Linked DNA regions of Sus scrofa. The protein of the gene in region 1 interacts with the protein of each later gene in a pairwise test. Links are inferred from orthologs where the notes say so. Each region holds a gene or a part of one and is shown on either strand. Other genes may lie near its edges. The genes, in order: RETREG3, STAP1 and MAP1LC3A.

What was found.
Region 2: the proteins of RETREG3 (region 1) and STAP1 interact in binary tests that used the Homo sapiens proteins (3 or more experiments, as listed by UniProt). The two-hybrid records come from large-scale screens. The link is inferred for Sus scrofa from reciprocal best matches to the Homo sapiens genes RETREG3 and STAP1.
Region 3: the proteins of RETREG3 (region 1) and MAP1LC3A interact in binary tests that used the Homo sapiens proteins (3 or more experiments, as listed by UniProt). The link is inferred for Sus scrofa from reciprocal best matches to the Homo sapiens genes RETREG3 and MAP1LC3A.

What each region holds. Positions count from the first base shown.
Region 1 is NC_010454.4:20,219,734-20,223,482, forward strand, and holds the start of RETREG3 (protein FAM134C), read left to right. Parts: upstream 1-1,259; 5' UTR 1,260-1,370; coding exon 1,371-1,609; intron 1,610-3,749. UniProt on the Homo sapiens protein: Endoplasmic reticulum (ER)-anchored autophagy regulator which exists in an inactive state under basal conditions but is activated following cellular stress.
Region 2 is NC_010450.4:65,317,822-65,321,570, reverse strand, and holds the start of STAP1 (signal-transducing adaptor protein 1), read right to left. Parts: upstream 2,711-3,749; 5' UTR 2,485-2,710; intron 978-2,484; exon of another isoform or gene 272-977; intron 1-271. UniProt on the Homo sapiens protein: In BCR signaling, appears to function as a docking protein acting downstream of TEC and participates in a positive feedback loop by increasing the activity of TEC.
Region 3 is NC_010459.5:37,956,987-37,960,096, reverse strand, and holds MAP1LC3A (microtubule-associated proteins 1A/1B light chain 3A), read right to left. Parts: upstream 2,268-3,110; 5' UTR 2,116-2,267; coding exon 2,076-2,115; intron 1,753-2,075; coding exon 1,697-1,752; intron 1,611-1,696; coding exon 1,504-1,610; intron 1,197-1,503; coding exon 1,034-1,196; 3' UTR 592-1,033; downstream 1-591. Other genes in the region: PIGU (phosphatidylinositol glycan anchor biosynthesis class U protein precursor), read left to right, coding at 1-73. UniProt on the Homo sapiens protein: Ubiquitin-like modifier involved in formation of autophagosomal vacuoles (autophagosomes). While LC3s are involved in elongation of the phagophore membrane, the GABARAP/GATE-16 subfamily is essential for a later stage in autophagosome maturation.

The DNA.
Region 1 (3,749 bases):
CTTAGAAAAAAGAATTTTTCTTAGCTCATGTCTCTCTCTTTCTACACTCTTACATCCTCCATCTGGCTTCATCTCTCTCTAGGAAATCATAAAAATGGGGTTCTTCTGCCAGGGAGTAACAGCAAATGACCTGGGAGAATCCGCTGGCCCAGTTGTTGCCAGCTCCTCCTCCATGCTCCGACAGGTAGATGTTCTCTGGGTTGTAGAGCTTGGCATAGGGGGAATTGAGGATGGAGTGGATCACCCGCGGCTCCAGGTCCAGCAGCACCGCCCTGGGGATGTAGTGCTCATCATCCGCCTGTCAAGGGGAGTCCAGGAGGGGGCACAGTCAGCTCGGCCCGCCCAGTCTTCCAGTCCTCCCAACTCTGGCTCCTGCTCGCCCTCCCTCCTCAAGCCAGCCGCCCTGGCCACTCTGTTCAACGGGTTTCCTAGTACCAAGCCACTGCCCTTCCCTTCGGGCCCCCTGGGCCACTGCCAGCCCTGGTCAAGTTGCTGGGGGCACCTGGTAGAAGAAGACGTCCTTGCGGTCAGTGCCCTCGGTGGCGAACTCCTCCACGATGCCCTCGGGGCTGATGCCATGCTCGGCGCACAGTTGTTTCCAGAACTCGAACCCAACTGGGGGTGGGGGCATAGGCAGGCGGGGGAGAAAGAGGATATCTGGTTCTGGGCAGGTTCCAACGAGAAGCTGGGGGCCTGAGCGCCTGGGACCAGGGATAGGAGGTCAATCCTCGGGGGTATCCCGTGTCAGAGGACAGGGCTATATGTCAGGGACCCCGCAGGGGAGGGCCTTTCGGGGTTGGGCAACTGGGCACTGGGTCAGGCATGTCCCGCCTTCGGAGAACTACGATTCTGGGAAGGGCAGATGGAGTCCAGGATCTCAGAGCGAGATACCATAGAGAATAAAAAACCTGGCTAGTGGAAGGACCGGAAGTTCGCTCACTCTGATTGCCGCACTGGCCCAACTGTAGGGTGATGATCTCCCTCGGCATCGCTCCTCAGGCGCGGGCCTTGCAGCAGCTCCCGCCAGCAAAGCCGCCACTCGCTAGCCCGCTAGCAGCACGACGCAGGCGCCAAAACAACCTGCTCCGCCCACGAACTCTCTCGGTTCCAATGAGAAGTGAGTTCTGGTGATGGCACTTCCTTATTCATTCGGCCTCAGTCTTGCAGATTGCGCGTGCGCGGCTCCGGATTGGTGCACTCGGGACGTACTTTGACGCAGTTTGCTTCCCACTGGGTGGACGCGAGCTAGAGCCTAGGCGCAGGCGCAGTGTTGAGGGAAGCGGCCTCCCCAGCCGAATCGCGCACCTGCGCAGTCGGCGTTATTGTGACTGTCGGGCCGTGGCCCCGGATGTTGTGGCTGCCGGGGGGAGATGGCGGAGGCAGAGGGGGTAGTTGTGGCCCCAGGCCCTGCTTCGGGGCAGAGTTCCAGAGGCCGCCGCACTATGTCGGGCTCCTGCGAGCGGGACCAGCAGGTTGAGGCGGCGCAGCGGGCCCTGGTGGAGGTGCTGGGGCCTTACGAGCCTCTGCTGAACCGGGTGCAGGCAGCCCTGGTGTGGGAGCGGCCAGCCAGGAGCGCCCTGTGGTGCCTGGGGCTGAACGCGGCTTTCTGGTGAGAGAACTGGATCCTCGGAAACCCTTCGAGGCGCGAAATCATCAGGTTTCTCTAGGGCTTTATCTCTCACCTCTCCTGTTTCTTCGCTGCACTGACTCCTTCCTGTACCTGCCTGATTTCTGCCTCAACTCCTTCCACTCCGTCCCGCGTGCGGCTTTGGCACCGCAGTTCTCCCCAGAGCCTTCCAGTGACCAGGAGCTTCTAGTAACCTCTTGAGCCGCTCGCAGTGAGTGAGGGCGCCTCGTTTTAGCCAGGGGAAAACTGTGTTCCTTTAAGGCCATCATTTCTCTTCTCTTGTTTGCTCAAAGGTGCTTTGAAGATTGTCTCCAGAGATTTTAGTAGTTATTATTTGGATAGATGTGTGAGGCGTGAGATCTTCAGCGTGAGATCTTCAGAAGGTATGCATAGGTGTGATGCGAAAACAAGTTTGAGCAATCTGAATTAGCATGTTAGACACCCTTTCTCTCACTCGGGGAAGTTTGTGAAGCCTGAGCGTCAGTAAGAGCCTCCATAGCTGCAACGTGAGAGAGAATTATGAGCCTTTAAAGAACAGTTATAGAAATAATGATTGTGAGATTTCACTCATTTCAAAGCCACTTATGATGGCCACTCCTCCCTGTTCCGAGGAATTAGAGAGGCATCCTTAGCCACAGTATATAGGCAGGGAAATTGAGGGTGTCTAAGAGTGTATGTGAGTTTTCCTGAGCTGGAAAAGTGGGGATGTAAATATGCTTTAAGAATCTGTATGTGTCATGCTCAGTGAAAATGGAACTGCTGCTTCTCTGAATTGTCATCACCTAAAATGGACTTTGATCTTCATAGGGTCTGCCAAGCATATTTTGGATTTATCCATAACTAGGGAAGTATTATTGATCAAATTCCAAGGAAACTGCAGTGGAGGGGGGCTTCTACAGCTGAATGAAATAGAGCTGTTCTGGATGAGCGTGAAACAGTAAAGTGTGTATTTCCAAATTCTTTTTTGTTTTTGCTAAAAGTAGCTTTCCTCTTGAAATTCTTGGTTTTAAAACCAAAACATTTATTATCCTTTGTCTGAAAGATTCACAGTAGGCTGGAGGAAAGCAAATAGTCCCAAGTTCATTGACAGCAAGACGCAGTATTGAGCTATTACATTAAACTCACAGTTTGAAGGGGTCTGAGGTTAAAGGTGTCACAGCAGTCTCTGGCATTAGTTGCTTCTAGAGTCTTGCTCAAACTTGATGAACTCTTCCTACAGCATTCAGTTATTTTTGGTAACGCTTCTTTCTTGATCTTCAGGTACCTACTCCTGAACCCCGTCACTATAGCACCTCATTCTAGAGCATCTTTCAAAATGACCTTTTCTTCTCATCTCCCTATCCCAACCGCTAACCTCAGACCATATAGTGAAAACTTCATTTCCTACATTGGGATCGTACTCCTAGGAAAAAAGGTTGATCTTCAGTAAACCAGTTTGTCTCAAAATGTGACTGATTGATAAACAAAAGCTTTATCAGGATTTAAATGAATCCTGATAAACCAAGAGCTTATTAATGCAGATAGGTCAGTAGCATACATGTTGTTATTTTTGAGGAGAGGACTTTCCACCCTTGCCTGAGAGAGATTTTCAGAGTAGAGTGTGGGGTTGAGATCTGCACATAGGAGCCCCCAGACACATCTTTAAATGTTACTGTTACCTTTAATTTGCTGGCCTCCAATAGTATTCACTTGAGTTTACTAATAGGCTATGTTTAGAATCTCACTCAGATCCACTTTTTCTACTCTCTCTTGAAGCTGTTGTTGTGGTTGGTCTTTATCTCTGGCATTTCCTGGTAGCTTGCCTGCTGTGTATACGGAAAGCAGTTATTCTTGTTACATTCCCATCCGGCTCTAAGCAGGTGGGGGAGAAATGCAGCAAAATGAGGGTGTGACTCCTGAGAGTTGAAGAGCAATTGTGTATGTCATTTGTGGAGAGGACTCACCTGTGAAGGGGACAGAATGATTGGCAGTGTTAAGAACCCAGAGGCTAGGGTAGTTTAGCATTGGAGTTCACAGGATTGTTTGTTTTAGGAAATGAGGTTCTGTGGAAGGTAGTTTGAGGTTCAAAATAGAAGTTAGACTTCAGTTTCCAGTAGCATCAAATTGGATATGGGGCTTGATG
Region 2 (3,749 bases), on another chromosome or scaffold:
GATTTGGTAGTCAGTATTTTTATTTTCCAGTAAAAAGATCTCATGAGCAGAAACCTGGGACTCCTAGAGGTTTCATTAGTGGAGAGCATGTTTCTGAGCAGCTTCTGAACAAATTTTCCTTCCTTCCTAGGGCCACACCTATGGCGTATGGAAGTTTCCAGGCTAGGGGTCGAGTCGGAGCTGCAGCTGCCAGCCTACACCATAGCCACAGAAACACTGGATCTGAGACATATCTGCAAACTTTGCTGAACCTTGTATCAACACTGAATCCTTAACTCACTGAATGAGGCCAGAGATGAACCTGAGTCCTCTCGAATACTATGTTGAGCTGTTTACCTGCTGAGCAAAGCTTTCTTAACAGGTTGATCATAGATCTGGGGTCTTCACTCCTCACTATGGCTCAGCCAGACACCGTCATTTTAGCTCCTGCCTCAGCTCACTTATGGGTGGTGTCAGGACCTACTTCCTCATCAACCGCTATGTCCGAAGACAGGAATTGGGTCCTCAAAGTGAAACTTTGCCATCATATCTTCCATGAATTTCTGCCCTCCAAACCCAGGTTCCACTGTCATAACCAAGGTGCGAAATACTCAAGTGTAGTTCCTGGTTTGGTAGCAAGGCCAACCTTCCTTCCATTCTCCTGAATGTCTTTAATCAAAGCCCCAAGGTCCTCAGTAGACTCAAGATGAAACATGTATTGACTGGTGCCTGCTACAGCCATTGGCTTTACCCAGTGTTCTGGCCTGGATACCATCATGTGCATGTCAGAGAAATGGTCCTGGCCAAGATGCCTTCAGAGCTTTGTATCAGAGCTTTGCACCACAGTGTGACCAAAGGTGATGCTGGGAACAAAATCCTGTCCATTACCTCCAGGTGCAGATAACTGGCCCCAGAGTCCAGCAATCCAGGGCATTTGGCTCCTAAACTGGCCAGGTTGCTTTTGAGGGTGGATAGCCAATCTTGCAGCTGGACACCATGGTGCTGGTTTCCTAGAGCAAATTACCCAACCCATATAGCTTCTTTGATCTGAACCAGACTCTGGTCAAAATTCACACATTGCATTTGGTTTATGTGTTTCCCTCTCTTGCTCTTAATTTCTCAAGTCAAGTTTATTGAGGTATAATTTACAGCAAAGGTCACCCTTTTTTTAGGGGCACAGTTCTAAGAGTTTTGACAAATACATGGAGTCATATAACCACCATCATCATCAAGGCATAAATTATTTCCATCACTGCAAAAAGTTCCCTCCTGGCTCTTTGGAGTCAATATCTTCTTCCTCATCTGGCCTCATGCCCTGGTAAACAATATCTCTTTCTGTTCTTACAGTTTTATGTAGTCACATACGTGCACTGCTACAGCAGATAGCCTTTGATGTCTGGCTTCTTTCAGATGAAACTTTTGAGGTTCATCTGTGTTGTTGTGTGTCAGTAATTTGTTTTTGTTGCTGAGGAGTATTCCATAGTGTGGGCCCACTATGACTTATTTATTCATTCACCAGTTGATGGACATATTGCCAGATTAAGTCAATTAGAAATAAAGCAAACTTTAAGTTGTGACTGCAGCTATGTTATAATCTCTAGAACAAATTTATTTATTTATTTATTTATTTATTTTTGGCTGCGCTCAGGGCATGTAAATGTTCCTGGGCCAGGGGTGGAACCCATGCCACTAAGTGACCCAAACCACTGCAGTGATAATGCTGGATTCTTAACCTGCTGAGTCACAAGGAAACTCTACAGATTGATTTTTTATTTATTTTTTATTTTTTTGTCTTTTTGTCTTTTCTGGGGCCGCATTCGAGGCATATGGAGGTTTCCAGGCTAGGGGCCTAATCAGAGCTGTAGCCACTGGCCTACGCCAGAGCCACAGCAGCTCTGGATGTGAGCCTTGTCTGCGGCCTACACCGCAGTTCACGGCAATGGAGGATCCTTAACCCACTGACCTAGGCCAGGGATCAAACCCAAAACCTCATGGTTCCTAGTCGGATTCGTTAACCACTGTGCCATGACAGGAACCCCCAGACTGATTTTTGAAATGTCATGGTAAGGTCTAAAATGTTCTTTAATAGAGGAGTTCCTGTCAGTGGGTTAAGGATCCGGCGGATCCCTTGTTGCTGTGGCTCTGGCATAGGCCGGCAGCTGCAGCTATGATTCGACCCCTAGCCTGGAAACCTCCATGTGCTGCGGGAGTGGCCCAAGAAATGGCAAAAGCACACACACACACACACACACACACACACAAAATAAATAAATAAATAAAATTAATTTAAAAAATAAAATTAAATTAATTTAAAAAATAAAATAAAATAAAATGTTCTTTAATAGAATTTTACTAATCACAAATTTGAAATTATCTACAACATAAAATCATAAATAACTAAAAGTTTCTACTTCTTTTTCAAGTTAAATTTCTGTATACCTTTTCCTCCATATACACACTAATACACATAATTCATAAATACATAAACACACACATACCACTTACCTAGGTGCAAGTCAACTGTCATAGCAGTTCATTAAGATTGATCTTGATGTATTTTGGATGTAAAGGGATCTGTAAGGACAAAGTCTGGGTTTTATAAACATTACTCCATCAACTAGCAACCTTATTTTAGGATGCCAAAAATGTGGTGGAGCTATGAAGTATTACGACAGATGCAGAGAGCACTGAAAATTTGGGGTGATGCGGACTCTCCGTAACTTTTTGTTTTCATAAGGGTGCTGCTCCATTTTCTCCCTAGAACAAACCAGTTCATTGCCAACACCCCCTGCATTGCATACCAGTATATGTCATCACATTTCAGGTTCCTCAAAATGCCTCTGAGAATTACTATTTCCAGTAATGGAGGGAAGATGATTGTACATATGGAACTTTACTTCTGTGATTGCACTTGCTAAAAGTTCTCATGGAAAGGTAAAAAGAGTACAGTGATTTAGTGCTCAGTTCTGGAGTCAGAATCCAGGGGTTCACCCCCAGCTCTGTCATTTAATGGGGGTGTGATCTTGGGCAAGTTACTTACAGTCTGTCCCAGTTCTGTTGTCTATAAAATGTTTTCTCATAGGAATGTTCTAAAAATTAAATAGGTTACTGCATGGAGAGTATTTAGGGTAGAACTTGCTGTACACTATGTGCTCAATAAATGGTAGTGTGTGTTATCTATTCCAAATCTGAGACCAAATTATATAATGTAGCACAGTTTACAAAACTTCTACTAGGTCAAGTCTAAAAATCTCCATAATAACACTCATAGCATTATTTATTGAATTCTTGCTATGTTCTAGGCATTTCTACTAGGTCTTAAAAGGAATTAATCCATATCTCAACAACTTTAATGTTATTCCCCTTTTAAAAACAAGAGAATCGAGAAAGTTATAGTTTAATTAACCTGCCCTTTATATTAGTGGAGTAGAGTGGAAGCCAGGGTTGCCTGATTTCAAAGTTAACTTTTAATCCCTCTTCCCTAAAAAAAAAAAAAAAAAAAAAAACTGAGTAGGCGATGACATTTGTTAAAGCATTACAAGTTAAAAAAATCTATTTGCTCAGCTCTTGAAGCTCTTTTTTTTTGTCCTTTTGTCTTTTTAGGGGTGCACCTGTGGCATATGGAGGTTTCCAGGCTAGGGATCTAATCAGAGCTACAGCTGCTGGCATACACCAGAACCACAGCAACGTCACATCCAAGCCCCATCTGCGACCTATACTACAGCTCACGGCAACGCCGGATCCTTAACCCATTGAGTGAGGCCAGGGAT
Region 3 (3,110 bases), on another chromosome or scaffold:
GGAGTACTACCTCACACACGGTCTCTACCTGACCGCCAAGGACGGCACGGAGGCCATGCTTGTGCTCAAGTAGGCCTGGCTGGGCACAGGGCTGCACGGACCTCAGGGGGCGAAAGGCCCAGAAGCTGGGCCAAGCCCTCTAGCCAGCGTTGCCAGCAGGCAAGCCCTGGGGCAGATGAGGTTTGAGTCCAGGGTCATGAATATCTGGCACCAGTGAGGAGCCAAGGCTGGCAGCAAGGCCTGTGGGGCGGAGCCAGGAGTCTCCACCTGGCCCCCACTGTGTGGCTCTGCACACCAGGAGCCCCTCCCAAGCAGGAAAGGGGAAGAAGCAGGTGAGCAGGGTTTGTTAGGCTGTGGCTACTTAATAAATGTTTCTTTTGTTATGAAAACGTCTACCTGGAACCATGCTGCCCTCGTGGAAGAGGTGGGCTTGGCCTCTAGTACCCCCACGATGCACTATACACAGGCGTGGGTTTCCTGAATGAGCCCTGAGTCCACAGCACACAAGTCTGTGCACCAGTGAGAGGACAACGGTGGGGGCAGCCCCACCCACAGCCCTCCCCACTCCCCAAGCAGCTGGAGGCAAAGGGCCAGGCAGGCCTGAGCAATCTTTATTCTGCAAAGGGACAATGACCACAGAGCCATACACCATGTCAAGACCAGGTGAGCCAGGACCCAGTCCTTCAGGGGTGGGCAGATCCAGGCATGGGCAGCGCCTCAGGTTGGGGAGGGACAGGTGGGCAGACAGGCAGGGGTCTAAAAAAAAGACAAACCACACAGGGCAGGGGTGCTGGGGGCTGCTTCCCACTCTTCCCCCTCCCAGCCAGCACCCGGAGGGGCAACCCTAATATGACTGGGCCAGAATCCATCCAGGGGCAGAGTAGGGGTGATAGGTGCCCTCTGGCTGGGTGGCAGCATCCCTGTCCAACCCACCAGGGGCAGGGGCAGAGACAGCTTAGTTCCAGTGCCAGGAGCTCCCTGGGCAGAGCCTGACAGGGCCCCCGACTCCCAGCCAACACCCCCTACTGCTGGCTCAGAAGCCGAAGGTTTCCTGGGAGGCGTAGACCATGTAGAGGAAGCCATCCTCATCCTTCTCCTGCTCATAGATGTCCGCGATGGGCGTGGACACGCTCACCATGCTGTGCTGGTTCACCAGCAGGAAGAAGGCCTGCGTGGGGTTCAGCTGCAGGCGGCGCCTGAGGTGGGCGGGAGGGCAAGCCAAACGTGAGGGGCCTGGCCGCTGGGTGAGTGTAGCCCTCACCCCCTACCCACCCTGACTTTGATTCTCCCCCTCACACCCATCCCAGCCCCTTCTAGAAGCTCTCACCTCTGACAAGATACTGATCCCAGGCCTGACCTTGACCGTTCCCAACCTCCCCAGAAGAGGGCTTCGGCACCCCGTCCCATGTCCCACCCCCACCCCTTCCTTCTCAGAAGGACCCAGACCAATGCCTGATCCCAGCAGGACCCAAGTCCCCCTCCTGACAGCTGCTGCCAGCGCACCGGATGATCTTGACCAACTCGCTCATGTTGACATGGTCTGGGACCAGGAACTTGGTCTTGTCCAGGACTGGCAGCTGCTTCTCACCCTTGTAGCGCTCGATGATCACCTGGGAGTGAGGTGGGGCGGGGACGCGTGAGCGGGAGGCTGGACCTGGGGCCAGGGGACGGGGGCGGGGTATGCGGTAGGACTCACCGGGATCTTGCTAGGGTGCTGGTCGCGGATCTGCTGCACCTCCTTACGGCGGTCGGCTGCAGACAGCAGTCGGGGATGAGGCCAGCCGAGGTTCTCCTTGGGTTCCGCCCCACTAGTCCCCGAGGGGCGGCCCCCGACCCCGCCCCGCCCCCCGCCAAGCCCCAGGCGGGTGGAGGTAGGGCCAGGGCCGGGGCACAGCACTGGGATGGGAGGCGGAGGCCCGGGCCCAGGCCCTAGCCTGCTTCCCAGCCCAGGGGTCCAACCCGAGCTTGACGTCATGAAGCTGACGTCACCTGCGGCAGACAAGTAGATCTGCCAACACCCCCGACCCCCCCACGCCCCCACCCCTAGCGCTCGCAGATCGCCAGTCGGGCCTCACCGAAGCTCCGCCGCTGCTTGAAAGGCCGGTCTGAGGGCATCGCACAGGCCCGGCGGAGCGCGCAGGCCGGGGCTCCCGGTCGCGCGAGGCGGGGAGGTGGCTGTGGTTTGGGGGCTCCGGGGGCTCCGCGTCTCCCGCTCAAGGGCTCTGGGGCTCGCGCTGAGCCCAGCGGCGGCGGCTCGGGGAGGTAACTCGCCCGGGTGACGTCAGGTCATAACATTCCTTAAAGGGGAGGCCAGCGCGCCGTTCCCATTGGGCCGACGCAAAATCTGCCCGCCCGGGCCCGTGACATCACGGCGCAGGGAGCCTGCATTCCCGCCCCCACCCCCAACCCCACACTGCGAAGGAGGGGAGGCGCCCAGTGAGCGTCACAGTCCTGTGACGTCACGGCCTGTGCAGGGGCAGGCGAGGTGGGCTCCCCCAGGCCCAGGGTGAGGGGAGAATGGACGCCAGCAAGGCCAGGGAGCAGGCTGGCTGGTCTGGCGGTGGGGAGAGCTGGCCAGGCTGCGGCATAGCATCCTTCTGTTTCCACTGTAACCAAGGCGTCAGACAGCCCTCGCTCAGAGTCTTTTCTGTTCCAGGGACCGTATGAGGCATTGGGGATGACAACAGTGAACCAGAAGTCTTCATCCTGGAGCATATGGTTAGAGAAAGAAAAAGGTAGTGGTCATTGTGGGGGGTTGGGTGAGCATTAAAACATGAAGACAGCAAGACACTGAAAAGGAACCTAGAGGTTTTAGAAGGAATTTCTAGAATTGAAAAACAGCTACTGAAATTCAGGTCTCAGAAGGACGAGGCAAGCAAGCCCTGTTAGATATAGCAAAAAAGAAAATCACTGAAGTGGATGAGAGAGCAGAAGCAATTACCTGGAAAACAAACCATGTTTACATGGTATAAAATAAGTGACAGAAATGGCAAAGTGAGAATTCACAGGTCTAATTAGCATTCCAGAAGGAGAGAAAAGACCGTGAAGCTCTGGAGAAAAACTTCCAAAATTGATTAAAAACCAGGATCCTCATATAACATCCAGAACAG